3 linked regions of the Rhinolophus ferrumequinum genome follow. The protein of the gene in region 1 interacts with the protein of each later gene in a pairwise test. Links are inferred from orthologs where the notes say so. Each region holds a gene or a part of one and is shown in the gene's direction. Other genes may lie near its edges. The genes, in order: FHL1, AKAP12 and MYBPC1.

The links.
Region 2: the proteins of FHL1 (region 1) and AKAP12 interact in binary tests that used the Homo sapiens proteins (3 or more experiments, as listed by UniProt). The link is inferred for Rhinolophus ferrumequinum from reciprocal best matches to the Homo sapiens genes FHL1 and AKAP12.
Region 3: the proteins of FHL1 (region 1) and MYBPC1 interact in a two-hybrid assay, tested with the Homo sapiens proteins (2 studies listed by BioGRID and IntAct). The link is inferred for Rhinolophus ferrumequinum from reciprocal best matches to the Homo sapiens genes FHL1 and MYBPC1.

What each region holds. Positions count from the first base shown.
Region 1 is NC_046284.1:20,053,751-20,064,292, reverse strand, and holds the start of FHL1 (four and a half LIM domains protein 1), read left to right. Parts: upstream 1-5,098; 5' UTR 5,099-5,229; coding exon 5,230-5,251; intron 5,252-10,542.
Region 2 is NC_046286.1:94,219,513-94,230,986, forward strand, and holds the start of AKAP12 (A-kinase anchor protein 12), read left to right. Parts: upstream 1-7,356; coding exon 7,357-7,521; intron 7,522-11,474. UniProt on the Homo sapiens protein: Anchoring protein that mediates the subcellular compartmentation of protein kinase A (PKA) and protein kinase C (PKC).
Region 3 is NC_046293.1:17,655,285-17,665,829, reverse strand, and holds the start of MYBPC1 (myosin-binding protein C, slow-type), read left to right. Parts: upstream 1-6,446; 5' UTR 6,447-6,569; coding exon 6,570-6,594; intron 6,595-10,545. UniProt on the Homo sapiens protein: Thick filament-associated protein located in the crossbridge region of vertebrate striated muscle a bands. Slow skeletal protein that binds to both myosin and actin.

The sequences.
Region 1 (10,542 bases):
AAATATCTATAGGACGTGGTTGGGATAGTTCATACATCTTGGTGAGAGTCTTGTAGCAGTGTAAGAAGGGGCTGACTTTGGGGACAAGAGACATTTAAAACTGTTACGAATCATGGGATGACATTTCCAAAAATCAAATGGCAGAGGCCATGGCATATGTTTAAATTCTTAATCTCTGAGTGAAGATTGCAAGGAAACCTTCTAAGCCCTGGTTAATTGTGAAATGAACAGGTCTTCTCTGGAGGGAATTAGCATTTCCCAGGTGCTTTGCTATTTACAGGGTCCTCAGTTTCATGCATCTTACCTCATTTGTAGCAGGTCTTCCCCTTCGTAGCCTCCCTTTCGTTTGCTCTGAAACTCATAGAGACCCTTTGGGGAGGAAGAATTCCCAGCTTTGCTTCCATTTGGATCTTGGATGCTGAAATTGCCCCTCAGGTGGTTCTGGGACGGGGGCTCCCTTGTTTTACTCAGACGGGTATGCCCTGAAATTGTGTGACATTTAAGCAGTGACTTTGCAAGATTTGACTTGTCAGTAAGGAAAAGTACTCTTCCCACCCTAAAGATTGACAGGAACATGAGATGGCTGAAGCTGTACTGTCCTTTTTCTGGCAAGAACTCATAGGACAAGAAATACTCGGGAGAGCTCAACATCGAATCCCATCATATCATAGTGCATGACTGGATGCCTTAAGATTGCAGTTGGAGTCACTCAGTAAAATTGTTGGCGGAGGGACTAGTAGCCTGAGAAAGTTATACTGAGAAAAAACTTGCAGTGTGTTAATTATTAGTAGTAGGCATGTGGAGAAAAGAAGAAGCTAAAAAAAAAACAAACAAAAAAAAACATCAGACCTCTGATAAATCCACAAAGGCTCCATTCCAGATTGTCATAAGCCTCTTGCCTCTGGCCATGACTAATGGCCAGTAAATGTCTGAATAACTTTTCAACTATTTGGAAATTTCTTCAGTAAAAGAAAAAATATAGTAAAGGGAAAAGGGCGACCACAAGCCAAGCTGTGAACCAGGAACTCCCGAGGTGTAGGCCAACTAGGTCACTGAATTTGCCGTGTTTGACTCTTAGGTTGCACCACTTTGAACTTTGGAAGTTTGATCCTCCCAGCGGTGTTTCTGAGGTAGAGTCTGGGATTAGATTGCAGGGTGAGAATTCCCATAAACGTGATTCCATCGTAACTGCACTGTTAGCCCTAGTTCTTTCTCGACTTGACAACTGGATCCCATTAAAGGGGGTTAGTTATTGACATCTCAGAAGAACCTCACTGTAAAGCTCCAAGTAAAGCGCCACTCTTCCCCACACCAGTGGTGCCTCCCAAATTCCCCATTATTTCCTGATCACCCAGAATCACCACATCGGAAGGATTGCCAGCTCCTTCTCCTCCAACACATCTAACCAGTCCTTTTGAGCCCTGCCCCGTGGTGCGCCTTCCATCTCCTTTCCCTTTCATGCCTGTTGCCATTGTTGCTCTCATTCAGTTTCCCCTTATGTCTCATCTGGACAACAGCAATACCCTTCTAGACTTTCCCTGCTTCCAGACTTCGTTCCCTAAGACTGACTCTTCTTGTCACTGCTCATATTTCCCTGATCTCACCCTTCTCTTGCACCAATTGCAAAAAGACCCTCCGAGCTCTGGCTTTCCGTTTCTTTCTAGCTTGATGTGCCACTGCAGATGTATCCTGTGCTCCTGCCCGCACTGGGCTGCATCCTGCTTCGGGAGCAGGCCCTGTGTTCTCGTATTTTTGTTCATACTGTGCCTTTTGTTGGAATTCCCTCTCCTCTTCTCCTTGTGCTAAGGCCTTACCCATTTTTCAGGGACCAGGTCAAATAGTATCACATTCATCAAGTCTTCTCTGATCTCTCCAAACCTAATACAATCGCTGCCTGTGATAAATCTATACCACTTTATATCTCTTGTAATACTCACCATGCTATGTTTTGCGTGACAGTCATTTGTATATTGATCTTGATACACTTGGAAGGAAGGACTGTATCTTACTCTTTGTGAGCAGCAAAATATTCTACACCACATAGTAGGACATCTCTTTAATAAGTGTTCGTCCTCCAAAATAAATGAATAGATGGGGTGGTATCATCTACAAGTGGGGCCCGTGGGTAGGTTAAAATGTAACTGCTGAGTACGTGGAAGACAAGAATCTGAGTAGGTGGAAGACAAGTAAATGGCTCCCAGAGGACCACATGCAAGAGGGAGCTTAGGACTTGTGATGCCTAGCTCGCTGAAAAATCATCCTGATGTACACTGGAGTGTGAAAGACTAAAAGGTCTGAAATGTGGCCTTCAGACACTAAAGAGATTTGTTAATCAAACACCAGCCAGCTCCACCAACAGTATATAAAGGCGCTTTGTAAACAGTACAGGATTATTAAGGATATTATTAACATCATACTGTTAATATGTAATGAAGTTGGCTCAGACGCTAATGAAACCACTGATTGTTTGGGTGTGTGCTAAATAACCGTCAAGGTTTCTGAACCACTGATCCAAGGCAGGATAAAATTACCAGCGATTCTTACTGAGAAATTGTGTTTCACCTAACAAAGAGCCCGTTCTGTTTGGGTTTTGTGAAAATTGTGGTTTTGTCACTTGACATGGGCATGGGGACAAATGTCAGAGCAGGCAGTGGTCATGCTTCATGAAGTTTATAGGAAGGCAGAGTTAACCTGGTTGAAGTAAATTGCAGATGGAATAAATGCTGTTGTAGGGCCAAGCTCCCAGCTCACGCTGGCTTGTAGCCGACTAATTAATTAATGGTCAGGAGTAATTCTCTTGTTCTTGCGTTTCAGGCAAAATAGATTTATGTTTATTTGCTAACTTCATAAGGCTATCAGTCTGTCCATATTCCGTTGTTGCTTTTCAAAATGATCAGATGGCTAATGGAACTTGGTAAAAGAATGGGATCAAATATATGGTGATGGAAGGTGAACTGACTCTGGATGGTGAACACACAATGGGATTTATAGAGGATGTAATGCAGAATTGTACACCTGAAATCTAGGTAACTTTATTAACCGTTGTCACCCCAATAAACTTTAATTTAAAAAACAAAACACCTCCTGATACATGGCTTGAAACTAGAATTGACTTCCTTGAGGAAAGCACTTGGCAATCTAAGTTTATTGTTCACAGCACTACAAGAGGCGTTTTTAAAAAATGCTTTGGCTCTACCTAGAAATACACCTCACTAAAATCTAAAATTTGGGGTTCATAAAGGTTGATCATCAAATAAATTAGCATTTCCTTGTGGTGAAAGTTTAAGTTTATTTTAGGGGTGTAGTATTGTTCAGACTGGCCAATCTCCCTGCCATAATATAATCAGGCTGGATAAGAAAGGCTAGAGAGGCGTGCAGGAGTGCAGTGTCACTTCCCTTTTTTCCCAGGCTTATTTTTTTGGACGTTATCATGTCATAAACCTGTTAACATCCTGGCTTCTATTGTTGTGTCATTTTTCCAGCAAACTAGGAGTTACAATTTCATCTGTCTTTTAGAATAGCTTTTCTAAACATTTGAAAAGCGTAAAAGTTGCGAAACTCATTCATTCATTTATCCATGAAGCATGTATTGCTTACCTGCTATCTGTTGGGAATAGCAAAACAAGTAAAGCATGTTCCCGGCCCTCAGCCTGGTAAAAGAGATGTGTGAATAGGGCCAAAACCAGTGACATGCACTAGACAAGGCAGTGTCTATAAGGTACTGAGCCCAGCGCCTGTCCCGGAGTGAAAGTCGGATGCCTTCCTTGAAGTTCAATGACCAAAGTCACTTTTAGGGTTCCAGGTGGGACTGTGTTTTGGTTTTATATGAGGTTTGATTAAGCCTTTTTGCTTCTTTTAATTCATTTTTTTCCAACAAATAGTTACTGTGGGGATCAAATTGGGGCAGGGGCTAGGGAGTGTGGGGCATGGGGAGCATGGTTGCAATTTTAAATAGGGTGGTCAAAGAAGATATCACTGAAAAAGTGACTTGGAGTAAAGCCTTGAAGGAAGTAGAGGTGCAATCAAGAGGCTCGGTGCTGAGGGAATCAGTGTTGGGGCCCTGAGGTGGGGTGTGTCTGAAGGGTGCAAGGGACAGTGCAAATGCCAGTGAGGCTGGAGATGAAGGGAGCGAGGGTAATTGGGGCAGGGATGAGGCTAGAGAATGAACAGGCAGGGGGTTTAGAGGCCATCTTGAGGACCTTGGCTTTTCCTAGAGCTTCTTCCTGATGAGCAGTCTCCAGGCATCGGGCAGCCTGTTGAGCTGCTACAGCATGATACGTGACCATCTTCATTTTCGTCCATATTTTTACTTTTTTTTTTTTTTTTTTTTACTGGGGAATATGGGGGAACAGTGTGTTTTTCCAGGACCCATCAGCTCCATGTCAAGTTGTTGTTTTCAATCTAGTTGTGGAGGGCGCAGCTCACTGGCCCATGGGGGAATCGAACCGGCGACCCTGGTGTTATGAGCACTGCGCTGTAACCACAGTGCCAACCAGCCGCCCCATATTTTTACTTTTATTGCCCCTGACGGTGAGAAGAGATTTCGTTTGTGGGACAAAGTCTCTTCCTTGTCTACATAGCGGTTATAGGCATGTATGTCTGTGTCCTGTCCTGCTCTGTCCAGCACTAAGGAGATATGTGGCTAGAATTGCTCTTTTCAGTAATTCTGCTGATCTGTGGTACATACCAAGGAGGACATACATAATGCCCTTGATCTCCATATTCATAGTGTCTAATCCCTTTTGATTATACTGGTAACATAAGGCTTTCTCTTACAGTTACTTTTATCATTAATGGCACAAAAATGAATTCTTCATAGGGCCAAATGCAAGCTCTTTAGGCATATAAAGTGAGTTAACAAGGGTGGCTCAGCGTTAAGCTATGCTAGAGCTGAGTCCAAATTTTATTCCGGTACAGGGATAACTTTCTATGTGGCCTCTCTGGCTCTGGAGCTAATTTGGATGCTGAGTAGCACCACAGGTATTTATATGTAGTGTTTGGTATTTTTACTGGGTCCTATTCTTCTCCCTTGGATCACCTAAAATGGTTAAGAATTTTCTAGTGGGATTAAGGTTGTGATCTCTGGGGAGGGGTGGGCCATCTGCTCTCGGTTATTTTTGTGTTAGCTGCTTCCCCTTAAATGTATGTTCACAAATGAGCCACAGCCTTCTCAGGTGGGGTCGAGGGAGGACTGGTCTAGGTGCTGCTCCTGAACTTGGTCTCTGAGCCATGGCTTCCCATAGACACTCAGGTAAAAGCTTCGTATTCTTTATCTTCTATTGAGCACAAGTTTGTTAGGGCACTGAATCCATCATTTGCCTAAAAGATACTTTTTGATGAAATGATTTTAGTCTTGTCTAAATAGGTAATAAGACAGCTCATCTCTGTTCTGCCCCTTTAATGCTGTTTCAAAGATAAAAGGTTATTCTTATTCAAGAAAAATTAGCAGTTCGAGTGGCTTATTTTTAAAAAGTATGTAAGCCTTTTACTGTATTGTACATTTTTTAGGACAGCTTATGAAACTGTAAGAGGTTGTGTGAGGAAAGAGGTTTTCTTTGGTTAGAAACTTCTGGTTTTCTTTGGTTATTTATAAGATAACAAATATTTTCTTGACAGTGCTTTAAATCGAACTTAAGGTGTTTAGAAAAGGTCCATCAAATATGGAGCTGGAAGAAGGAATATTTATAACTAAGACAGTCCGTAATGACTTACTATATATCTCCCCTTTCTCTGAATAACCTTTTCAGTCTTCCTGAAAAAACAACTGTGATCCTTTTGATATGACACTTGGGTTATTAATTGTTCTTATCAGGAAAAGGGGCAAATTTTCGGAACCTCTGGACTGTCATTACCATAAGAGCCTTCCTCTTGTTTTGTAAACTGACATTAAGCAAGCCCTTTGGCTGTGGACAAGACACTGCGGAATAGGGGTCAGAGGACTGAAGGTCAGGCAGTCTCCCCGGAAAGCCCGGTTCTCTCAAGTCAGTATGCTGCCAGTCTCTCCTCCGAAGCCAGGAATGCTGCTGTTGCTCTTTGCCCTCTGCCTAAGTAACGGTCCCCTTTCTTAGAAGCCGGGCACTTGGTCCTGTTGCCTACCTTTTAGATTAAGAGACAAAATAATTATTAGTGGCAGTCTTTTGGAAAAATTATTTTTGAAACTTAACAATTGCCTGCCGATACTTAAACAATGGGAATACTTTCGGAAATGTTCTCCTTGCGTGTTTTAAACAAATATGCTGCAATGTAATTCGCTGCCTCAATGCAATGGTCTTCCTTGTTCCCAAGTGTTCAAGCACTGTCTCTGTTTCCCAGGAGCCACTTAACCAACATGGTACCACATGCCCGAGATTGTGGTAATCGGCCAACATACACATTCTCTGGGTATAGGTAAACTATTCAGCTATACTAGTTGTTCCAATGGACCTTGAACGCATGTTAACTGGTAAAGGAACTCCCCATTTTACTTACTAAGTGACAGAATAGGAAAATGATATACTTAAAAGATAATTACAGCACACCCAACCTTGGGTTTTAAATTGTACCAAATCCTGACATTATTCTTGCTTATATTAATATAAATCTGGAGGCTACAACTGTGACTAAATTAGACAAATTAATTGACACCTTTTAGATGAGTTTTTAAATTGGGAACTATTGTTTTGTATTGCATTAGGTTCATAGATCCATGGAAGCAGATGAAAGACAAAGAAAATCCTCACAGAATTTTCTTTCCTCACAGAAAGAAAATCCACATTGCCCCCAAATTGCCTTTGTATGGACAGAATTGGATCAGAATCCAATTTCAGTGACCATCCATGTACTGAGAGGACATTTCAAGTACAAGAAATTGTACTTTTGTTACTGAACACTTTGCAGTCTGCAAAATTGTGTATACGCAAATCCTTTACCCTTCATATGTTTTTTTCCCCTTCAAGTTGAGGTCCGGTGTGGGGGTGCGGTGGGAGGGAAGATCACTTGCCATGTTATTCAGCCATTGATTCCCTTCACCTGCCATTGCCCAGTGGGTTTACACACGCCCGACAGTCTTTTTTTAGGGTGCCATGGAAAATGAAACGGTGGGGTGAGAGGGCGTAATCAAACTGGATTGGCTTCTTAAAATAACTGAAAAATAGTAGTCAGATGATTTGGTGGAGGATGAAACTGAACATTTTGTACTTTTTTTAAATTTTAGTTTCAGGCCACCAAACGACCACCTACTATGGTACTTCATCACAATTAGAGAAACTGAAAACACAGGTTTTATTGCTGCCGGGTTGGAAGCGCTGTTTTCCTATATGGAAGATGGAACATGCTGCACATAATATTAAGGAAAGCTTTTACTATGCACAAAACAGCACTAGAATAGAATCTGGCCCAGTGGAAGTTCAGTGACACATAAGTTTTTCTTTAATAATCTCTATCCAACCCTCCTGATACCAGGTATAATGTAAACTGTGTTACCTGTCTATCAATGATCCACAAGAGATTTATATGGTTTTTTTCCCTAAAGGCCGCATACAAGTGATATTGCTAATAACATTGAATCATTCTGTACATGTTCTATTTTTAAGGGAAAAAAACACTTTCTGATTTTCTAGGAAATTCAATGAAAGACTACTTTTCAGCCATGACTCATGAACTCTGTCTCATGGCAACTATTTAGGTATTTATTCCCAAATGTCTGACGACACCTCCAGGTGCGCGAGCATAACTGTTACACAAGTGTCCTATTCATCGGCTAAGGCTCCATTCCATTTGTTGAATGTTCCATTTGTTGTATATTGCAGGAAAGCAATATACCCTTTCTTTAGAAGCCAATATTTATACACGGAGTGACTAACAGACTGGTATGTTGGACTTAGCAATGAACAGATCAGAAATAACCTGAATTTTTTTTTCCATTTGGGTTGCTGTTCATTGTTTACAATGTACGTTATATATACCATTCAGGGAAAGTACATAGTTAGAAAAATGCTACCTAGTCATAATACTCACTTTTTCCTGAGGCACGAGGCGAAAAATGAATGTTAGCAAGAAATACATGAGAAAATACACATAGAAATACAAGCAAGATTATCAAATACAAATTGAATCTTCTCTAATGAGAGGTTGATCGTAAAAAAAAAAGGCTGCGATGTTATATTACTCGTATATATACATGATTAAATCAAAAGCGAAAACTTTTTATTGAGATACTGAGGTTTATGTAGGCACCTTATAGCATGTTGGATGTAGTTCAGGGATTTTCTGAAAGAAGAAGCTTCTTTATTAAATGAAGAGTGATGTGTCTTTTGAAGCAGGCATGGCAAGAAAGTCAGGCTACCATCTTGGAATAAATATCTAAAATTTGATCACTGAGTCACATTTCCAACTGCATTCTGACCTACTAAGTCTATGCAGAACAGCTGGTTAGATGTCAGCCCCTTAAGGTCACAGGAGATGTTCCCTACTTTTCTAAAACAGGAATCTTTGTTATAAAAGGCTTTTAATAAAAGAAATTTTAGAAGGTTACTGGTGGTGACGTACTTCCATCGGTCAATCAACAGGCATGTACTGTGTGACTCCTGTATGCAAGGCCCTGGATTAGGTCCCGGGGGCTCCTAGTGTACTGGCAAACTTTTCTGTGACAGAGAAACCTCTGTACTACGTACAGATGAGGGCCACACTGTGAGGTTACAATTAGTCGAAGAGCTACTTTAGGGAAAACATGGCTTGGACAGCGATGGGTGGGAAGGGAAGCGGCACGGTAATTATATGTACCCAGGTTGCCTTTAGTGATTGACGACATGTCCTTCCCCAGATAACAGCAATAGGTCAAGGCAGACAGATCTGCAAGTTTTGGAAGGTTACAAGCTTCGGATTTCATCTACTTAGAAATTGCTAAGGGGGTAAAAATTATTCCCTAAGACATAAACACCTAAGTATATGTCATTCAGTAAGATGAAAGAAAGCCCCAAAGAAGAGGTAAATGCCATCGTCATTCTCTATTCTCTTATTTCCAACAAAGGGAAAGAAAGGAAAGTGCAAAGCTTTTCTCTCCTCTTGAAGTCAGAGCTTAACTATGGCTCATTCTGGTGGAGCCCACAAATCAGGGTATCTGTTCTCTTTGGAACCTCAGCGTTGTCATTTATAAGCTGTTAACTTAGCATGGTTAACCTCTCTGAAGATGAGTAGTAACAAAATATTTTGCTCTTGTACACATCATCCATATTTTATGCAAAGTTTTGACATGATAACTATCTTGTCAGCAGGAATGTATTACTCCAGCTTCCTCCTAAGCACAGTGCGTGGCGGTTCAGAATAGTTTGGGATCAAATAATCATAAGGTTAGAAAAACACGAGGTAAGCTGATTCGGGTTGCCCCAAGTTCCACTTAATTGGATTTATTGCAAAAGAGTACTAGAGTTCATGAATTTGTCATCGACATTGTTAACATGCTTTAAGTATTTCCAGCCTGTTTACTTATTAGGCAATAAAGCCAGTATTCCTAGAAGTGCCTATTTTGTCTTGACAAATAAGCGTTTCCATACACATGAGAAAGATTCGAGTCCACAGTGGAAATCAGTTCTAAAAGGATGCCCTTGGAAATCTGTCTCTCCACCTGGACACAGACTCTTTGGGTTTAAGTATACAGTGGTGGAGAATATAAGATGACTGGATTTTTCACACTGCAGAAAGAGAAAAATAATAATGCCTTCAGCCAGGACCCCCAAACCCCAAGAGGTTGGACTCTCCATAGAGGTGCCATTAACTTGGGTTGGATTCATTTAATTTTCCTATTGCTTCGTTTAAGACGCTGCACTATAGGAATGATAAAGTGGTGAGCAACTCCATTGACTGACTCCATATTCAACACACTTTGGTACTTCCATGTCCATTGTTGAGCCATGGATTATTTCACCATATGGATGCCTAGAAACCCTGAGTGCATCATGTTCTAGAACTATGAAAGTAACCAACGAAGAACTTGGCTTTGGTAACATTAACGGTTTGAATGTACATGGTTTTAAAATGGTAAAGGTGTGGCAGGTAAAATCTCTCTGGTACTGTGAGCCAAAACCTCTGAATACCTCTAAATAGAATTCACTGTGTTTTCCAGTGGTTTGTTTTTTGTATGACACTTATACCTGTATTTTGACCATAAAGCTAGGACTCAGAAATAGCATGAGATGGGACTCCCCTTAGCTGGGACTCCATATGGTACTTTAATATAGATATATTTGGAATCCATTTCTTCTTTGAAAGACACCAAAACAGAGTGATATTCAAATAAGTAGGGTTCAGGGGCCAGCCCGGTGGCTCAGGCGGTTGGAGCTCCGTGCTCCTAACTCCGAAGGCTGCCGGTTCGATTCCCACATGGGCCAGTGGGCTCTCAACCACAAGGTTGCCAGTTCGATTCCTTGAGTCCCGCAAGGGATGGTGGGCTCCACCCCCTTCAACTAAGATTGAACACAGCACCTTGAGCTGAGCTGCCGCTGAGCTCCCGGATGGCTCAGTTGGTTGGAGCGCATCCTCTCAACCACAACGTTGCCGGTTCGACTC
Region 2 (11,474 bases), on another chromosome or scaffold:
TAAGTTAATGTTCTTCTAAGATGTGAGATTTAGGTCAAGGTTAATTTGTTTGCCTATGGATGTTCAATTGTTCCAGCACTGTTTGTTAAAAGGCTATCTTCCTTCCATTGAATTGCTTTTGCAGCTTTGTGAAAACTCAGTTGTGTCTACTTACATGGGTTTATTGACATTATTATGGAATTATTTTGAAAGACTTTAGCAAGTCAGTTTAAAGGAATGCAAAGAAATGTTAGATCAACTTATCTGTTTTTCTTCCATTTATTCCTAGTTAAGATGTTTATCAGTTCATACTGATTATTTTCATGACTGTAGGCATGAGGGTTTTGGCTGAGGAAATATTTTCTATAGTGATTACATTCTACACGTAGGAGCAAATACTCAGTATTTCACAACCTAATAGTTTTCTTCTCGTGAGTATGATAAGTAATATATAATTGAATATAGATGATTTTATATTTATCTGTAACTGTATACCAAAATACCATCTTCATTGGCATGATTTTAAAAAATGCACTCTTACTATAAGATATTCCTACCTAAAACAAAATTCATTATGCCATGAGGCTTTATGTTGGACCCCTTCCAGGTGGATTGATTTCCTTGGAAGGATCAGATTGAGTATATGTAATGATGATGATTCCAGAACATAGAATTTCCCTCCCCTAATATCATTTAAAAACTGTGCTAAAAGGAAATTACTTTTCTCTCATATCCTTGCTTAGTTGACTGTTAATTCCCATCAGAATCCAGGAAGCAACAGGAAAGTCAATTCAATCGCAAGTCTCCAGAGCTGTGGTTCTCAACCTTGGTTGCACACTTAGCATTAACTAGGGAACGTTTTACAACCCCAGTACCCAGGCTGCACCCTAGACCAATTAAGTCAGACTATCTGGAGTTGGGACACAGGCCTTCAATTTTGTTAAAACTCCCATGTTTTTCTAGTATACAGCCATGTTTGAGAACTGCTGAGGTCTCCTGTGTGGCTTACTTTCTTATGAACCTATCAATGTTACTGTAATTTGTCACTCAATACTGTGAAATACAGTGTACTGGGTTGTCATAACATACTATATAAACTTGTATCTTTCAGGTTAAAACCTGGATATCTTCCTTGGAGAATTAAAAAATTTCTAAATGGTTTTATTCTTTTGGCAAGAATTACATGTGTCTAATGGAGAAAACTTGGGGGGAAAAAACAAGCAACATAATGAAGGGGAAAAAATCATTTTAAATTCTATCATCCAGAAAGAATTACTTTAACATCTAGTCTTTTTCTTAGGCGAATACACACACACACACACACACACACAACAATATATTTTTTTTTCAGCTTTTATCCTTTCAAAGTTGAGATGATATCATAATATAGTTTTATAAGTTATTTTAGACAGCTGATAAATTAATGTAAAAATTAGTATCAAACAGAAACTGTGGCATATTGGCTTGCAATTGTCATAATTTTTATAATTTTACACACCTTAATCTGTGTCATGGATATAAGCAGTTAAAATGTACTTTTTAAAAAGTCATTTTACATTACAATAAAATAACGTTTAAGGCACATGATTATACTTTCCAGGATATTTTCCCCCTAAATGGACAAAATACAGCTGACACCTCCTCTGTCATTTTCAGATTTGGAGTTATGGCCAAAAATGCACCATTCCCAGCCAAACCAGTAATTATTATGTAAAGATAATAAAATTATCATTTTTTTCTAATCCTTCAAGTACTCTGACTAGAATAAGGATATGAACCAGGAAAAATATGTAAGGTGAATGCATACTTATTAAATATAGAATGGAACTGCCTTTCTTTTTAATTCAGACTCAAATGCAGCTGACTTTTTTTCTCTGGATTTCAGTGGAAGGATATATGAATGCATATGTCATGCATATATGCCTAAATTACAGGGGAAAAAATACATATATTCACTATCGAATATTTAGGAAAGTTGATTTAAAAAAAATCAAAACTACCTATTGTTAAATTTGGCAACATTGATGCATCTAGATACAAATAAGCTGAATAAAGAAGCCAAAGAAAAGTATAAAGATGATTCCATTTTATGAATTTCTATAAAATTCTAGAAATACAAACTAATCTACAGTGACAGAAAGCAGATCAGTGATTTCCTGGGCAGGCAGGGTGGGGCCGGGGGGATAAGGGATTGCAAAAGCACACTGGAGAGATTTTTGGGTAAATCATTAAATCCAATCTCTTGATTATGGTGATGATTTCAAGGATGCATACGTTTGTCAAAATTCATCAAATTGTACACTTTAAATGGGTGCAGTTCCTTCTATGCCAATTATACTTCAATAATGCTGTCAACAAATATATTCTAAGGGACTGTTGGCAACCTACAATAATGGAATTTGTTCTGTAAATTTTTGCTTGAAATACTGGATATTGCAATCACTTACTGGATGTTATTTTCACTAACCATCACTTTTACTCAAGAAAACACCTCATAATTTTATACTCTGACATAATCCGTGTTTCCAATTCTTCCATAGAAAGTAAAATTCAAATATTTTACTTATAATTTCTTTCATAGAATTCTCAAGAGCACAATAACACTCAAAACAACATATTCCAATGATTATTTCACTTTTCAAAGTTTTCATTGACTTAGCAGAAGCAGCTGCAGATTTTGGAATCTTTTTCATGTGATTAATTATATTCCCAAAGAAGTAATGAAGTAACATGTTGGGAGGGGGGAAGGTAGGCAAAGTGGATCTAGTGTCACTATTGATTTTCTACCTCTTATTGTGATTTATCACAGCTACTCCTCCTACAGATACTGTATTTGTGGGAAGGATAAGAAGTAGTTTTAAAAACAAAGCAGCTGATAAAATTGAGACAATTCCTTGCGAATACAGAACCAGGGCATTGACTGAGAGCTCTGGAAAATGGGGTACTATTATCAACCTCTCTTGGATATGATTTTAGTGAATCTTCAGGTCAAGCATTGGTCTTTGCATTGGGTTCTTAATCACATGTAAAAAATAACTGAAGGCTTTTTTGATGTCATAGACAACATGTAGCGAATCTGAGATTAAAAATTCATAAAGGGCTTCAAATTAACAGAGGAACATTAAAATCTCTCAATATTTTACAATGTGTGTCTGTATAATGTTTTTTTTGAGTAAGCATGTTGACTTACGAAACCAAAGTTTCCAGCTTTGAAAAGTACCAAGTGTATTAGTTGGCACTTAACTCAGTAAAAGTTCACTGAATTAATATATTAAAATATTTTTTATAAACTATATAAAATATGAATAGTTTCTATATGAATGTTGGATTGTTTGTTGTATACTTACAGGACTCTTTGTAGACTCTGTGAAAGGATTTGAAATGGTGAGGATTACAGTAACTTGATCTGTCCTGGAGTGTAGAAACCTTCCAGATACCTTCAGGTACTCTACAAAAATGTGTACTGAGAAATTCTCTCTCCTCATTAAGCAAATCATTTACTATACCTTGGTTCCAGTCATAAGTGGGTGGAGAACAGCCCAACTCTAGAAAAATGAAGAGCCAAAATAATACTGGCCTATTGGTGACTACATTTCATTTGTTTGTTTATATTTAGACACATCTTGAACAAAGTGGTGGCAGCTATGTCAAATTAGTTCCCTGCAAAGAATTGCTTCTGTCAAGTCTTCTACGGTGGCTGGAAAAATATAAATGAAAAAAATACATATACAAATGAAAGGATTAACTACCCCTGGCCCTCTTTGTTATTTTATCATACATTGACCAGCAGTTAATGGCTGGCTTTATACTTAAGCAATAAATTCCTTAAAAGTTAAAAGAAAAGTACTCGCCTATATATATCATGTATATCTACAGGTGGTTGACCTTTGAACTTCATCTGTATATTGAACTTTTTCTATAGTTTCTATAGGAATGTTGGATTATTAGTTACTCACTAATAAAATTATTAATTCTTCTAGTTTTCTAGTTTGTAATTAGCAAATGCATAAGAAGAGAGTAGGAATGGGTTTTAGATGACTTAGATATCTTGATGTGAGTAATTAATTAAAAAAAAGTAGGCTTTTTATTTAGAAAAAACAAAGAAGTGGTAAGTGGCAGTTTCAAGAGTGAAGAGTTGACAGTTCTAAGTGAAATTGCCTGAAGGCTTTGTAGCTAGAGCATGAATCTATGGGGTAAAGTGTTGGTTTTAAATTCTGTTTTAATAATTGTAATTATTATTGCTCTTTCAGTTGTAAAATGTTTCAAATTTATGAATTCATTTAGAACGTATATTAAAATGTTTTGGTGTATGCACAGGATGTCCAGCTACGACTCTAAATTTTATTGGTAAATCTCGTATGACCCGTCTTTCTAGAGAGTTACATGAGATATACGAGTTCAGCCTGCTGTACGGGCAACGTGTATTTGTTTTGGGAGAAATTACAAACTGTTTTTTATGAGAACATTGACTCTCTCAAGGAAACAACTGTACCACTGACTGCCCCATGGGAGAGGATGTGCAGGGACACCTGCGTCCTGCTGTTTGGAGCAGAAAGAGCTGCTAGTGAGAAATTGGGGTAACTGACAGTCTTAGGTGAAAAAGTCTTAGGGAAAATAGAGAACAGCTGTCTTTCTTCCCATCACTGACACTAATGCTAGCAATTCTGAAGGTGTCTCGAAACCTTGAAAAGAAAACCTTGGTGACTCGATTTAGAGCCTTGAGTGGGAAGCACATTAACTGTGCTTGGCACATAATAGGCACTCAGTAAATATGACTTGAAACTGAGGGAGGCAGGAAGGAAGGGAGGGAGGGAAGAATGGGAAGAAGGAAGGAGAGAGAGAGAGAGAGAGAGACAGAGACAGGAGAGAGACAGAGAGAGAGGAGAGAGAGAAAGGAAGGAAGAAGGAAGGAAGAAGGAAGAGAAAGAAAGAATGAATGAACGAACGAAAGAAAGAAAAAGAGCTTTGTAAAGTTTTGAAGCACTAACTAGCATATCTAAAAGGTTGGAACATCTCATTGCTGGGGATAATAAATAACATAACTCCTCTTCTCAACAAAAATAACTCAAAAGAGTAACTCCCAATCTACAAGTAAGAAGGAAAGGATTGTTTGGTAGTCTAGGAACCAAAGGTAGTTAGTTATGTGTGTGCTTGTGTGAATCAACAAAGGAGCCCGTTATTCTTAGTACCTCCTTATCGTGGGCTGTTTGAAGCAGACAAGGGAGTACTAGAATATGCACATTCCTTAAAATAAGATTTTGCTTTCTAAAAATAAGGACACGAGCATTTTCATAGCCTGAAAAATAAACACAAAGCAAGCAGTTGCTAATCTAAGCAGACACTGGTGATGGCTTCCTTAGCATGTGGGTCATGCTGTCGGCTTGAAATCTTTGACCTTGCAATCTTTTCTGAATATACAAAGGCTGGGAGATGTGTAAAGCTTTGTTAAAAATTTCCCAAGAACCGAATAAATGTAATCTCACAGAATGGGAAATTTTGATAGTATTTGTACTACTTACTGATACATTTTCATAGGTGCTGACGTTCATCATTCTCTAATAGGCTTTAACAGCATTTCTAGCTCTTAACATCCTACCTGAGGTCTAAAGGCAACTTCACTAACATTCCTGAAGCTTCCTACAGAAGAGTGAAGTGTGGTATGGAGGATTCCTTCCATCTGTCAGCTGTGAAACCTTGAGCACCTATTCAATTTCTCTGGGCCTACTTTCTCCCTCTCCATTGGTCAAATTGAGGATAGTAGGATCTCTGTCATAGTGTGGTTGTAAGGATTAAATGTGATTATATATACGAAGTGCTTTGATTAGTGCCTGCTACAGAAAAAGTACTCTAGTTTTCCTAAGTCGTTAAAATTTGAGTTGAAATGGGTGAAATGCTTAAAACTTCTGAAAACCAAGCGTGTTTACAGATATACTACTTCTTAAGGGATAAATTCCAGAGAAAGTGGTACTTATATACTCTTTCAAATAAAAATGACAAATTCAGAAAAATTTTATTCTGGATAACTAACAATTAGGCACAAAATATCCCAGTGCTGAACTACTGTGTCCATCAATCTCTACTAAATTGTATTAAATCTGTTATGGGATATTTATCTGGTGTCAAGTGTCAATATTCCAAAAGTTTCATTTTTTTTAAAAATGATGATTCCAACTATTTGTGAAAATCAAGGCATTTAGTTGCTGGGATAATATTTCTTAACAGCCCCACCACCTTATGCTTATGTGTCAAATAACCCAACTAACATTTTAATTTAGTTCAAACATTTATTAACTTGCCTGCTATATTTATATAACAAATATTATATTCAAGAGTCTTACGGGAAAGAATGCAAGCCGCTTAGGCTGCCATTATTTAGAGTATTTATGGACAAAGATTGATGCAAACGAACAGATCTACGCCATCATGCCCCAGCACGGCGCAGGGAGAAGTGGCCTGGACCGCCTGCATCAGGCCCTCAAAGGAAGACCTGCACATTTCCAGTAACAATCTCATTTCCTCAAATTCCCCAGGGAAAGAAGGCGGTCGGTGTTGTTGATAATATCGCCTGACATCACTTGTTCTGGATGATAGGAGAGCGTGGCCTACCTCATCCGTGGCCTGACGGCATGACCCTCCTGGTTCCCTGCTCCTGCCACGTGAGGTGTCCTAATATGGTCCGACTCTCAAGGAGCCCGGGGGGCTTGCCTTTCTCCTGCTGATGGGGAGGAGGCAGGTACAAACATTTAGTCACACACAATCTGAAGGAAAGCAAATGAGGATTTGGGTTCGCTTCAAGGCGAGTTGCAAGTCAGCTGCGGCAGAAGCTCTTGCCTTGGGGGTATCTATCATTAATAAACCCCAGCGAATCCAATCTCCCAGGCGAATCCAGGCTTTCTGTCCTCCCCCTTTCTCCCTGTCCTCTCACTTTCTGCAGCTCTGGGTCATCCCCCAGCTCTGGTCCCCATTTTTGAACAGGAGGCACCCGGCGGGGGGGGCTGCTCGCCTGGACCTTGGCTTGCGACTCTCGCTGCGCTTTGGGTCCTTGCAGCCTGGGGGGAGATGCTGCTGCAAGGCGTGTCTGGGCTGTGCTCATGTGATGAAGCGAGGGAAAAACAAGGGGGAGGAGGAGGAAGCAAAGAGGTGGCCTTTTTTTTTTTTTTTTTTTTCCCTTTTCTTTTAAGGAGTTTGCCGCGAGCGCGTCTCCTTCATTCGCAGACTGGGCGCGTTGGGAGGAGGAGCGGGAGGAGCGGAGAGGAGCGGGAGAGGAAGGAGCTCTTGGGACCTCCGGGCGCACGGCTTCTTTGGCTCTGTTCCGCGTCCCTGCGATTTGGAGAAGGCGTAACCCGGCGGCTGGGCGCGGGAGATCTCGGAGAAGCCATGGGGGCCGGGAGCTCCACGGAGCAGCGGAGCCCGGAGCAGCCGGAGGCTGGGAGCTCGACGCCGGCCGAACCCCAGCCCAGCGGCGGCGGCCCCGCGGCGGAGGCGGCGCCTGGAGCGCCAGGGGACCCGTCCATCGCTGCCCCGGACCCGCCACCAAGGTACGTGCGCGCCGGGCCACCTGCCCCGGGGAGGCGGGGGAGGGAGGATCCCTCTGATTTCCGCCTGCGAGAACTTCCCCGCCCGTCCAGCCCATCTGCAAACTCGGGAGCAGGAGCCCCTCTTTTCAGGGTTTTTTGCCCCAGGGCGGGACCAGAGCAGCAGTGGACGCGGGGGGAGACTCGCATCTTTGTCGTGGGTCTCCAGGGGAGGCGACTGCGCCATCCGCAGTCAGAGAATCCAGCCCCAGGCGCACTGCTAACCGAGCCTTTCTCCACTGTTCCGGTGGGAGCGACCCAGCCCGAGACGCACGGGCTACGTGGGGGAGTCCGTGGAGAATTGACTCCCAGGCCCAGCGTCTTGAGCTCCCGGCCCCCCTTTCTCCACGATGAGGACAGCCAGCTGCTGGGCCATGACCCGTGTTGCAGCCTGGCGAACGGGCCACCCATGGGTTCCCCGCCGCGTACGGTCCTTACTAGCTGTTCATGGAGAGACCGGGGTTTGGTACCCAGTCCTGCGGCTGCGGCTGGAGCAGACACCGCCTTCTTAATGCAGAGAAAGCCTGGAGGTAGCTCGCTCTGAGCCAAAGAAAACCTGGGCAGACGCTGCATTTCCAAAAGGAATGACAGGTTTCGCAAACAAGGCAGCGTCTTTTTCGCTCTGTGCATTGCTTGTGGGCTCCTTTGGATAAACAAATGCTGGAGGAGTAGTTAGAAGTTCTCAAAGGAAGCGGTCTGGCATAAGCGAGCATTCCCTGTACGCTTGTCAGTGGAGGCAGTGCTGAGCCTCCTAGCAAATCTGTCGATTTTATAGTCTTAAGTCTTCAAGGCTGAAATATTTATTCTTGGCCACTACAGCCGTCAAGTTTGTTCCTTGTTCCCGTCTTTGTATTTTAGATCTGTTTTCCACCACGTGTGTTCATTAGCAAGGTTTCACCCTACCTGTGTTGTGACATCCTTATAGGAAGATGTGGGTAACCATACTTAATGCTTAAAAAACCCCCACAATACACAACAACCATGTGTCGAATTTGAGGATACAGATTAAATGAGGACCTTTAAGAGTTATCTCAGGAGGCATAGATGTTTTGTACTTAGAGGTAAATCTGTTCAATGTTTTTATGAGGGAAAAAACAGGCTGAAATCCAGGTAAATTTCACAGAACTATGACCTCATTGCCTTGACCTCTTTAGTTGTCCTAGTCTAGTTTAGGCTGAGACTGTCCTTCATAACTAGATTACCTCCAGTCCTTAATTTACAACTACTTGTAAAATCTATGGTCCCCAGAGCTGTGGATACTGACAAGCACTTACTGCCTGGTACACTAGATTTTCTAAGCGGTGCCTAAGGCTTGGGCCTAAGGAATGTATTATCCTTTTGAGGTCTGAGTCACCTTTTAATACTTACTGTAAATCACTTTTTGATACCAACTACGGTCAAAATGGCTGCATAACCAGTACTTAGAGTCCAGCAATGACAGTAATTTTAAGGTATAATGGATAAAAGCTTGCATTCAGGTTCATTTTTTTCCTTGGCTTTACTACTCCTCAGGTCTTCTTATTAACAGTTCACCCTGCCATATGGTACTAATTCCCTTCCCAATAAACTCACATTTGTTCATTTAAAACTATTCATTCCATTCTCTTATTCTTTTCTTGGTATATCCTTTCATAAATTTATCCTTCTTCCTTCCTTTTCCTAGTTACCACCATCTTGAAACAGCCAAACCACCTCCTTGAAACAATTACTTAAATGACATCCAGAATGATCACTGAACATTTTGGCATTCAGCCTAGTTATCAATTTGGAGGCAATCAATACACTTATATGTATCCTTGGAAAATGTGTAGCTTTTCATTTCAATTTGCAAAATGTATTATTTAGGTTTTGAAGACCTGAGTCTTTTCAAAGGGACTCCCCAAATTAGAATGACTCAGCACAGGACTGTTTCCTCCCCTCCGTGCCCTGACTCAGCATAGGACTCTTTCCTCCCCTCATTTCCCTGTTCAACTCCACTTCCTGACCTCTGAGGAATCCCATCTGCCATCTAGGCTCCCAAGGCACCATAGACCCTCCTTCCCAGCAGTCTCCACATTTGTGGGTTTAGTGACTTGACTAATAAGTGCTTTCTTGGCTACTCTGAATGTTCTACGAGGTAGGGACCATATCTGTTTTGCTTATAGTAGGTGTTCCCCCAAGTGTGACATGCTGCCTGGCACGGAGAAGGTTCTCAGGAAGGGACGCCACTGACTCCCAGGTTTTGATTGGAGACTATCAAGTTGGGGATACTTTGGCCCATCTAATTTTTCTACATTTAATCTTTGACCTTCTCATGATCCATCTCATGTATCACAGACAGTGACTAAGTTAAGTCAGTCTGTTCGCTTATTATTAGAATGAGAGAATATTTTGGCCAAAAAACCCAGATTTGGGGACTTTTTCAGTTCTCAGCTTCTCTAGAAAGAGTGGCATGTTAATCTTACAATTTCAAATTGCCTTTAATTTCAAATAGACCAAATATATTAGCCACAAGTCTGCAAGTGGCTCAAAGGACCACGCCAATGCATTGGATAAGTTATGAATTACATCTTGAACTTTCTTGGTTGGTCTATGGGCATAGGGAGGTTTAGACTAATACATCATTCCCTAACTCCCATTAAATGCCGATCATTAACTAAAAGCTGTTAGTAGACTTTTTTCCCATCTAAATGATATTTGATCATATGCATACCTACTTAGCAATCCAGTTTACTTTCCTTTTTTCTGCTAATTTTAGTTACCAGTTACTCACTAAGTGCTCACAAGTCAAAGGTATTGCACTAATTGAGTTATTGTTACTCCTACTGGTCAAAATTGATTATTCAAGTCTAACATTTAGATGCAGTGAGGCAGAAGTTTTTGGTTTTTTTTATCTGTAGTGTTTTTCAGTAAAATAGAGTCTTCCAGTCAATCTTTTACAATCGTAGTATGTAAATTCTGGGAGAAAATGGCTGATCAATTATTTGTAGATTTAGTTTGAGATTTGGGCCATCTCGGCTACTTGCAGGGGCAGGAATTAGATACCTACCACCATAGGTGGTTAAAAAAAAAAAGAAGCCTGTGTATTAATCCTCAATCGTCTGTTTCAAAATTCGTCTTCCAAGAATATTTCAATCAGGTGGCAATATAGGGTGAGGTGACCAATGACAAATTTACTTCATGCTCTGGCAAATCTTGATTTCTGGAGCCAAGCGCCACCAAACCTAAGTCTGGACAATCATAATCCTCGAATTAGCTTTCTGCATTCTCTGCTCAATGACCTCAGAGCTGGAAATGGAACAGTAGTCAGTTGCAACAGCGTGTGGCCAACGTCCCTGCAGGTGGCAGGGGGGAGATGAAGGTTCCTGTCAGTCTTTCAAGCTGTGGTTCCATTTGGTTACAAGAGCTGAATCACCAAACACACAAAAATGTACTCAAATAGAAGAATCCATTAGCTGATTGGTAGACTGAAGGATGTCTTGGCCCTTCATGCATTAAAACAGACAATTGAGTTGACCAGATGCATTTCATAATTCCTCTACTGGGCCTAAGGCAGTGTACTTTCTCTCACCTGCCTTCTGTTTATAGAATGGAAGTTGAGACTGAAGATGGCCTTAAAATGATTATGTCTACATATAATTTTATACTAAAAACGCCGGAATTTAGGATGATGAGAATTATGTTTGTTAATGGAGTGGTGTTTTTATGTGTGTGGCTACCTGTATTCCTATGGATTTTCCCCAGATTACAAGAGGTGCTACTTTCTGATTGGAACACAGTCCAAAATTTGGAGATGTGGGTATAAGGATGGTCATTTAGGATAGCCATAGCCTGGGGACGGCAGGACCTTCTCTGGAATCTGTGATGGCCTTTTAGGCTTGTAGATACACGATATCAGTGGAGATTTCCACTTGAAATGCATCCTTCTATGAGGCACAGGTC
Region 3 (10,545 bases), on another chromosome or scaffold:
ATATTGTATGATTTCATATATATGAAATGTCCAGAATAGGTAAATCCACAGAGACAGGAAACATATTGGTCACTAGGGGTGGGCAGAGCAGTAACTAGTTAATGAGTACCAGGATTCCTTTTAGTGTGATGAAAATGTTTTGGCATTAGATAGAAGTGGTGATTATACAATCTCTGAATTTACTAAATGCCACTGGATTGTTCACTTTAAAATGGTTAATTTTAGGTGATGTAAATTTCACATCACTAAAAATTAATTAAAAAAAGAAAACAATAACAAGAAAATCTTAATTTCATAGAAATTAAGAAATCCCTTTTAAATAACTCCTGAATCAATGAGCAAATTAAAACCAAAACTGAAAATTATTCAAAAATTAGTAAAAATACCGGTACATTAAGTTAAAAACTTATGTGATACAGCTATAGTCCCAGGCTGAAAATAAACTCTAAATTAAATCCTCCACATAGAAAAGGAAAAACAACAACAGATTTGACCTAAAGAAGTTACGAGAAGAAAAGAAAATAAAACTACAAACTGGTTCTTTCAAAGCACCAATAAAAGTAGTTATACTCTGCAAAAACATATTAAGGGAAAGAGAGAAAATAAAAATTTTGTTAGAACTGAAAATGAGGCATAAAAATCACAAACATAGCAAACACTACAAATTAAAATAAAACCCTTTTCTGCATTCTTTGGTTGGTACAGAGAACATTATTGCTTGTATTTTGAATATTCTTACTAAATCTAGAAGAAATAATTTTCTAAGTTAATTTAAAAAGAAGTGTAAATACTGAGCATCTCAATTTAAAGAAGAAATTGGAAGCATTTGTAAAGATTTACTATTTAAAAATGGATCGGACCAGATGGTTTTATAACCAAGTGTTACCTATCTTCAAAGAACACATTTTCCTATGTTACTCAAACTATATTAAATATTAGAAAAAGATGCAAGTATCTATAACCAATTTTATGATGGTAACATAACTTACATGATAAAGATAGCACAGACAAGAATTTATAGAATAATTTCACCAACATATAAATGCAAAAATATCTAAAATAAAATATTAGCAAATCCAAAATTTTATCAATAAAATAATACACCACAATGAAACAGGATTATTGCTAGGAAGGCAAGGATTGTCCAACATTTGGCAATTTTTCAAAATACTGTAACATTTTTATAAACAAATCAAAGAAGAAAAACAAATAATCACAAATAAATTCAATCAGTAATGGCTATTGATAAAATTCAATAGCCATTATTAATAAACAAATAAGTATAAATAAAAGGAAACAACCTAAAATGATAGGCTATTTATTGCAAATTAATAACAAATATCATATTAAATTTTAAATGCTAGATCCATTTCTACGAAAATCAAGAACAAGAGAAGAAGACCTACTCTCCACACTATTATCACATTATATTTGGGCTTCTAGCTAATGTAATAATAAAATAAAATTAATTCAATAAATATTGGAAATAAAAAGACAAGATTATCATTTTTGCATAGCATGTAATTATATAATTACATAGTAAGTAAATCCTAGTGACCTTAAAAATCCTATTTGAACTAAAAAGTAATTTCAATGGCTGGATACAAAATAATTATAAAAATAACTTCATAGCTTTTCTTCATACTCTCAATAGCCAGTAAGAAATGGAAATGGAAGAAATTCCATTTAAAATTGTAACAAAAACTATAAAATGCATAGACATAAATTTAACATGTATGGTATAGAATTTTAATAGGAAAAATTATAAAGTTTTATTAATAACTATAAAATGATATCTGACTTGGGATACATACAATATTTCTAGGTGAGAAGGATTAATATTCAGATGACAATGATTCATGAATTAATATATAACAACTTTATACTATTTTGATTAGAGTATCTTTTATGTTGGAAGAAGGTGACAGGAACTGGCAAAATGAATTTAAAGTTTATAAGGAAGAACATAAATGGAGAATTGCAAAGAAAATTTTGAAAAATTAGACCACAGAGGAGATCTTGCCTTATCAGATACTAAAACTTAATGTAAAGCTAATGAATGCAAATAGGAAGACATTGGCTAAAGAATAAATACATTGATGAGTAAAAAATGAACACTGCGTCTATAAATAGATTCTAGTTTACATGGGAATGTAACATAAACTCTAGTTTACATTTCAAATCAGTGGTAAAATAACAGTGAAATGGTGCTGGCATGACTCCCTGTTAAGCTGGGGAGTGGCGGGGGGGTGGAGAATAAACAAATTTAGACACCTTAATTCACACAATAAACATATTTAAGGATTTTAAAGTATTTGAAAAAAATTTATGAGAGTATTTGAATAACACTGGGTGAAGAGACTTTTCTAAAGTAAGAAAATCCAGAAGCCATAGAAGAAAAGGTGACAGATTTGAATAAATTTTAAAAATGTAGTTATTTTATAGCAAAAAAATCATAAAAGCAAAATGCAAAAGAAAGAGAGAAAAAATTATTTGAAATATATACAGAGCTAATATCACTAATAAAAAGTAAAGTATTTGAATAAAGCAACTCAGAGAAAAAAATGACAAGTCACCAAAAAACATGAAATATTGCTTAACCTTTGGAAAAATGGAAACTCAAATAATGAGCTATCATTTCTAACCCATTAAGTTCACAACTTTTTGTTTTTTTTTTTAATTATAACATCTAGGGTATGAGAAAACAAGTAATCTTATATGTTGCTGGTTGACCTGTTGAATAGGCAAACTTTTGGGAACATAATCTAGCAAAAATCTATTTAGATTTAAACCAGGTACGTATACCAGAAAGCTCAATTTTAACAATCTAGCCTACTAATTTAAAAATATCTGTATATATCTATATATATCTAATTTTAAAATGTCTGTAAGGTTATAATGTATTATATTTATTACAGTGTTAATTGTGGTGAGAAAACACTGAAAACAACCATTCTACCCATTAAAAGGAAAGCAATTAAGACTATACGGCACACATCCCTACCATGAACAATTATTATTCATCTGTTAAAAAGATGTGTGTGTGTGTGTGTGTGTGTGTGTGTGTGTATAGAAAGAGAGAGAGAGAGCAATGTTGACTAAAGTGTCCATTTGTATACATTATTTTGGCACCCCCAGTATATGTATTAACATGGAGGGATGTCTATGACATGTTAAATAGAAAAATCAAGTTAAAGATTAATGTAAATAAAAATAGATGAAGAACTCCCTACATATGAGTACGTGTATATATGAGCACAGAAGAAATTTAGACCCTAATTCACACCTTGGAATAAGGAAACATTGGAGAGAGAATGAGGTTTATTATTTATACTTTTCTGCATTCTTTGGTTGGTACAGAGAACATTATTGCTTTTATTTTGAAAGATGTGGCAGAGATTGATATCTACCAATCCAACACCATTCTCCTCATTCTCTTATTTAGTAACAGAAGCCTATTGCCACTGAGAACGAAAGACTACATTTTTCAGTTCCGTTTATAGCCAGATATGGCCATGTAATCAAGTTCAGTGGAATGTACTAGATGTTTTGTATGGGACTTCAAAGAAGTCTTTCTAAAATGGAGAAAGTGAGTCCTTTTTAAAAACATTTTTCTGCTGCTGGGAATGTGGATGTAATGATTTGAGTGCTAGCAGCCATTTTCGACCATGAAGTTACCTGGAGGAAGGTAGGGCAGAAAGAAAGAGCCTAGATTTCTGATGATACTGCAGAGCCACTATAATGACTCCAAACTGGTTACTTTTGGACTTCCTTTATGTGAACAAGAAATACTTCTGCCTTGATTTAACTATTGTTATTTTGTGGGTTCGTGCAATATTCAGCCAAATCTAATCCTAAATGACGCAAAGGGGAAAAAAACCAATAAAGCATTTAACAAAAGAAAAAAGAGTCATGTTGACCATTTTCCCCACTGCCTGAGAGTGATATTGAGGATAAAGAATCTGTCAAATATATGGTGATGGAAGGAGAACTGACTCTGGGTGGTGAACACACAGTGTGATTTATAGATGATGTAACACAGAATTGTACACCTGAAATCTATGTAACTTTACTAACAGTTGTCACCCCAATAAACTTTAATTTAAAATAAAATAAAATAAAATAAAAATAAATAAATAAAAAAGAATCTGCAACCTTCTAGATCTGATATAGGGATTATGTGTTCCTAAAACAAAACAATCCTAGGAAAATTACATGTCTACTTATTATTTTAATTTAAAATTTTGAGTTAACCATCTAACACACTCTACAATCATATATCATAGAATTTGTTCAGACTTTGGATTCTTCCAATTAGGTTTTGTCTTTTTACAATCAAGTCTTTTATTATCAAATAGTTCCCCAGGTCATAAAATATTTTCTCCATGGGCTGCAATATTTCCTGGCACTTATTCACTTCAGTAAAATGACCAGTGTATTAAAAATCCAACAGAGTTTCTGCAGAAGCCAGTGATGGCATGGCCCCTCTTTTGTGGCATGTGTGAAATCTGCCCATCACTAGAAACATTCTTCTGCAATGTGACACTTTGTCCCTCTGTCAATTTCATATGTGGTGTTCAGTGTGCTGAGAATGCTGAGGGGGAAATGATTCTTTTTTAGGGAGCACCAGTATCAAATCACAAAGTTAAACCTAGAAGGGGCATCAGAGGCCATTTTGTTAAACCTCTCAATTTATACAAAAGGAAACTGAGGCTCAGAAAGGCCACTTGTCTTTCTTAGACTAACTCAGCTCTGTGATGATCCAAAAACAGAACCCAAGGGTCTGACTTCAGATTCTAGTTTCTTTACTTTGTCTCTCCTATTGATTCTCTCATGGTAGATGCAGAAAAAATAAAAAAAGTTTGTTTTTCATTCTTTCAAAGCACATCTAGCTTTGTATTACAGAATATGTTGTTTTCTGGCTGATGTTCAACATCTAAGAGCCAAGAAGTATTTTAAAAAGCAAAGCAATGGGATCGTGGCCCCATGTGGTGGAGAAAAGGCTTGCTTTGTAGACAGATGTTCATGAACCTCCTTGACTGTCTCTCCTCCCCCTCCCCCCACATAGCTAAAGCGTGATGCTATTGAGTTCTAAGTTGAGTTTCCATCTTTATATGAAAAGTTAGCTTGGCACAGAGTTTGGTAGAGCTAAGTGTGACCAGCTGTGCTCTCAGCCACAAGGGAAATTAAACGAGACAGTGTGGCTGGTTCAGTACAAATCAATCAAAGTCTCTTGAGAATGATCTTGAAAACACATATCAATGAAGGCACTCAAGGAGTCGTCTTTTCGCATAAACTAATTTTGGTCCCAGTCTCTGAGGTATCTCATCCATGTGGACAAAGAAAGTAAGGTGTCTTTTTTAGTTTGACCACTTGGTAGTTCATAGTTCTCCATCAGTGCCATGAGAGTTTTGGGAGAAAGTGGTCCAATATGATACAGTCTGCCAATATCTTAAATTAGATTTGTTGTCTGCCATCTTGAAACAAAACAATGGCTACTGGTCTAACTTTCTTTGCCCATCCCCCATAGACTTTTAAGTGTATAAGTCAGTGGTTTTTAACATACTCACAAAGTTGTACAACCATCACCACTATCTAATTCCAGAATATTTCCATCATTCACCCCAAAAGAAACTCCATATTCATTAGCAGTCACTTGCAATTCCATCTCCTCCCAGCTCCGGTAACTAGTAATCGACTATCTGAATTTATGGATTTGTTTATCCTGGGCATTTCATATAAATGTAATTGTACAATATGTAGTATTTTGTGTTGGGTTTCTTTCACTTAGTATAATGTACTCAAGCTTCATTCATGTTGTAGCACGTATCATTACTTCATTCTTTTATATGCCATGTGAATTTTTAAAGGTTGTTCCTTGAGAAAAGGTAAAGTCTAAATGTTCCTTAATAGAAACGTTTGCTATTCTTAGAAGAGAAAATGAGAGAAGATAGTCAACATGGAAATTTGGCTTTTCAAATTGATATTAATATATTAATAAAAATAAGATAAATTTAAATCCAATAATTAAGAGCTCACAAAAATAAGAAACTAATGAGAGCATAAAATTATCATCTTGATAACAGAGATTTCCCTTTATATCTTAATAAAAATTAATGTATATGCTGAATTAGCATACTACAATTTTTAAATTTAGTTTAATTTTCTGTCATCTGGCAAAATTTTGCACGCTTCAGTCGACACATGCCTCCATTAGACAGGAAAAAAAAAGGGTAAGAAGGAGCATGCGGCTGCAGCTGAATTTAGAAAGTTAGAGGTGTTCTCATCAGCCACATGAGATGGACAGGAGATTCCTTCCAGTAGGCGAGAGAGCAGAGTGCAGACAACAGATGTGGGAAAGGTCCTCATAGCTGTCAAGTTCCAGCATCCTTGGGCTAAAGAAGGGGCGGTGCCAACATGATTGATGTTCAGAGGCAGTACAAAAGCATTGGATTTCTCCCCAACTGCTTGTCACACTGACCTGCACCATCTCTCAACTGCTCGGGGGTTTCTGTCAACTAGTACTGGAGGGGAGCAAACTCTTTGGTGAATAACCTTTTATTGTGGTCATGCCAGAACCCACTAAGAAAGAGGGTAAGACTCATCCATAAATCTTTTTGTTGTAATTTTAATACAGTGTGCTTATTTTGGTATTTATTTTCAAACAAATATCCAGTTTCTTAAATAGACTATATAATAATAGAATTACTGTGACTTCAGGAAAAGATTCCAGAGAGTAAAAAGATCAGAAGAAAAATATAAGAAAGTACAACCAATTGAAAAATATCTGACAATGATAGTTTATGAAGGGATATTGACTAAAATTTTTAATTATGATTTTATCATTCGATTGTAGTAAGGGATCCTGAAAGTGTAATTTAAGGATGTTAATTGCTCGTGGTGAGCAGGTTGCGTTTTCAAGTGTATTTTCTAAGTTTCAATCACAAACTTCTCACCCTGTATTTGCAGTTTGTGGAGTGTTAGTAGCTTGGAATGCTTTCTTACATGGTTTATAAATTTGATCAAAATTTCCAAAAAGAATTTGTGGTATTGTTTCCAGATTTGCTATTTTTTTCATGGAAAGACATTTAGAATATACAGATGTAGGCTTTTTTTTTTTTTTTTTTTTGCTTTTATCAGTGCCTTTGGAGCTTTATTACATTATTAAATTCTTGCATGGAAAGAAAATCAAACACCTGGGTAAAAGAGAATAACTTTGAGTATCATTGATGGATTATGTTCTTTAATGAGTATTATTGTAGATAATTTCATAATATGTCGCCTTTAAAAAAATAATTAAACTGAAAATATGAAAACATTCTTCATTAGAAGAAACATTTCTTCTTTCTATTAAAAAAATCAAGATTTTAAAACTACTAATTAACATAAATAAATTGGAGTTAGAAGTTACTAAAATGACTAATGAAAAACATAAATTAATAGTACAAGTACATTTAGTTTAATTTTTAATGGAAACATCTATTAACATACATATTAGTCTTCCTGAGTGCTTATTGAATCTTTATTTTTCACTTCTGCAAATAAAAGCCAAAGAAAAAGATTAGCAGGGAACAAAAGAATAGTATTTTGTTTTTTCATTTTTAATTCTTAATACTACTTTTAGCCATTAGTTTGAAGAACCTTAAAAAGATGCTAGATGTTGAACTGAAAGTTGAAATACTAACCAAATTATCAAAAGTCTTTGAAATATATTTTCTTTATGTAATTAAGTAACCAGTGTTGACAGGCTGTGGTGATCAGTTTACAGGTTGGCTTTACTTAGTAGTGGAGGGCATTGATGGATGAAGTCTTCCACCCGAAATAACCACACCAAATGCATGCATTAATATGGGAACTTAATCCTGACTATCAGGCAGTGAGTCCAACCCCTGCTAAAGTGTCTTATTTGTAATGCAAATGATTTACATGTGTATTAAGTGTCCTTTTTATTTGATCTGTCACTTGACTAGCCTCTTCAAGGCTTATTTGGATGAAATGCATTCTATGTTTCCTGACTGAGGACAGAATATTGTTTTAATTATCCTGCATTTAGGGGATGAATTTGCATGTGTTATTTTAAAGCCCACTTGAAAATGACAAGAAAGCTGAAAAACTAATAAAGATGACAGACCGTAGAACCTATAGAGCTAATTAAATTACTCTGATTGCTACATGCATAAAGTTTTCCTTTATCTGAGTCTGACAACTCCATCTGATACATTCTACTTTTAAAGACAATGACATTTTTGAGCTACAAAGAGGAAAACATATCTTTAACTTCAGCTCCTGCCATCCCCCCAAAATATTTTTTAAATAAATTAACACAGATACCAAAGTCCTCATGATATTCTCTTGCTATAAAAGCACTGTTGATGTGATATTCTGTGTAGGAGTTCCCCCACCCAGGACAGTAATTTTATACGCACAGATTCTTTGGTCGGTTTAAATTTGGGTGGTGGGGAGTGGAGATAAAAAGAGTGTTACTGATATATTTAAAATCCTTTGAGGAAGTACAGGGATTTTTTGTTTGTTTGTTTTCCTTGCCAGCAGAACTGATTCTTAAGGACACTGCTCCTTGAAGAGTTTTCCTGGTGAAATCACTGCTTTTTAATATTGCTAACATCAGAAGAGGAAGGACTATGGCAATTTTAGGAACTGTTCTGGTCCTTGCACCTTCTCCTCACTGATTTCATTTTTTACTGGGGTTGGTTTTGTGCCATATAAACATCCCTCTGAAAGACAGCTTCAAGAATAAAACTTGCCACCAAACCATTTCTTCTGTCATTTTAAAGTATCCCCAGAAGCATTCCCAAGTGACAGTTTCTTCCCGCCCCTATAGGTTTTTTTAACATCTCTTCCCCAGGGGAGAGAAGCATGCCTAGGAAGGACATGCTACGAATGTTCTTGCTATGAATCTTGATAGAATACATGGGCTGATTTGGCCCTCTTAGGATCCAGGAGGACCTGGCAACTCTTTGAATGAGGTTGAGTTTTCAGCACCTGAAGTTGCAAATGATGTATCTTTCAACTGTCTCTCAACCTCCAGTGGCCTAATTGTGGGAACTTCATGTTGGGTCGTGGGAGAGCTGGTCCTTCTCAGGAGGAGGAAGGACAGATGTAATTTTGGGCCTCAAGGAGGAACTCTTAATGGAAGTAATTAGTCAATGATCCTTATTTAGACCCTGGAAAGTATTCTGGATGACTCTGTAACCCCTTTTGGAGGAAGAAAGCATTATTTCTAAGGAACAACCACTTCTCAATACTCTCCTCTCCACCTTTGTTCATTGTGTATTTATTCCTTAGTGAACTATATTATTTGTACTATCAGTTCTAGATAAGAGACCTGTCTTGCACTTTGAATGCATGCAGAACTTGAAGCCTAATAACGTTAAGTTATTCTATTCTAATAGTGAGAGAGGAAGTGGAAAAAAAGCTTGAGATTTGTGGGAATCTACCAGAATGCTTTGGATACATTTATTTATGTTATCCGTGATTGAATACTTACCAGAGGCTAGTTGCTGGGATTTTAAAGATATATTCAACAGGGTCTCTGTTCCATAAGCTCTCACAGTTAATTGCCCGGGTCCTATGGTATAAAAAAAAAATAAAAAAATAAAAATAAATAAAAATTTAAAAATCACCTTTCACTGGAAACTTCTCTTTTCCTGTCAAAAAGCAATTTTATCAACATGAAATTAGAAAATTCCAATAGACTTTCTTTGGTGGTAGCATCTCTAATAGTTTAAAAATACTATGAATTACTCTTAAACCCATAAAAATGATTCCTAGAATTTTATCTCTGTAGTTTCTGATAATTAAAACCATAGCGACTGGTTCTCTAATATACTTAGACAATTGTTAACTGTCAAAATCTACAGGACCTAGAAAAATTCTCTTCTAAAACACCAAGTTGAGGCCTCAATACAAATTTCACTTTGTCTGATATATCAGGCTCTTTCATATTTTATGCACTTAACTTGCAGGAAAAAGGCAAAGGTCTTCCTTGGTGCTTGTGTACCATTCAAAAAACCTTGGGAAATCACTGCCGTTTCCTCATCTTCCATGTGAAATCTCTTCCTAAAAACTCAAACATACGGTAAAACATGACTTCATTTATGACCATAATTTTAAGAGGCCATTCTGATAACTCCCGGAATCAAAGGCATGACATTGTTGCTACAGATTCTTTTGCTATATTAGCATGCAATATCTATCTATCTAATCTATCTCAGCCTTTTTTCAGTAGAAATAGGTGGGAACATGGTAATGGAGAATAACTTTTTTTCAGTCCACAACAGCGTTTCCTTTGCTATATCTTTCTTTCTTGGTCCCTAGAGATTTCATCACATTTTCAAGTTCTGCTGAGCCCCAAACCTAGTATCTGAAAGAAGAGCAGCGTTCATTACCTCTTGCCCATTTCTCAGCATGGCTCAAGGCTTAATCATCGTCAGAAAAGGAACCCTGGTGATGGAAAACCTCCCTCTCAAATTTACTCCTTGACCTTCAGCTTCTACCTGCATGAGACTTGATGACCTATTCCAGACA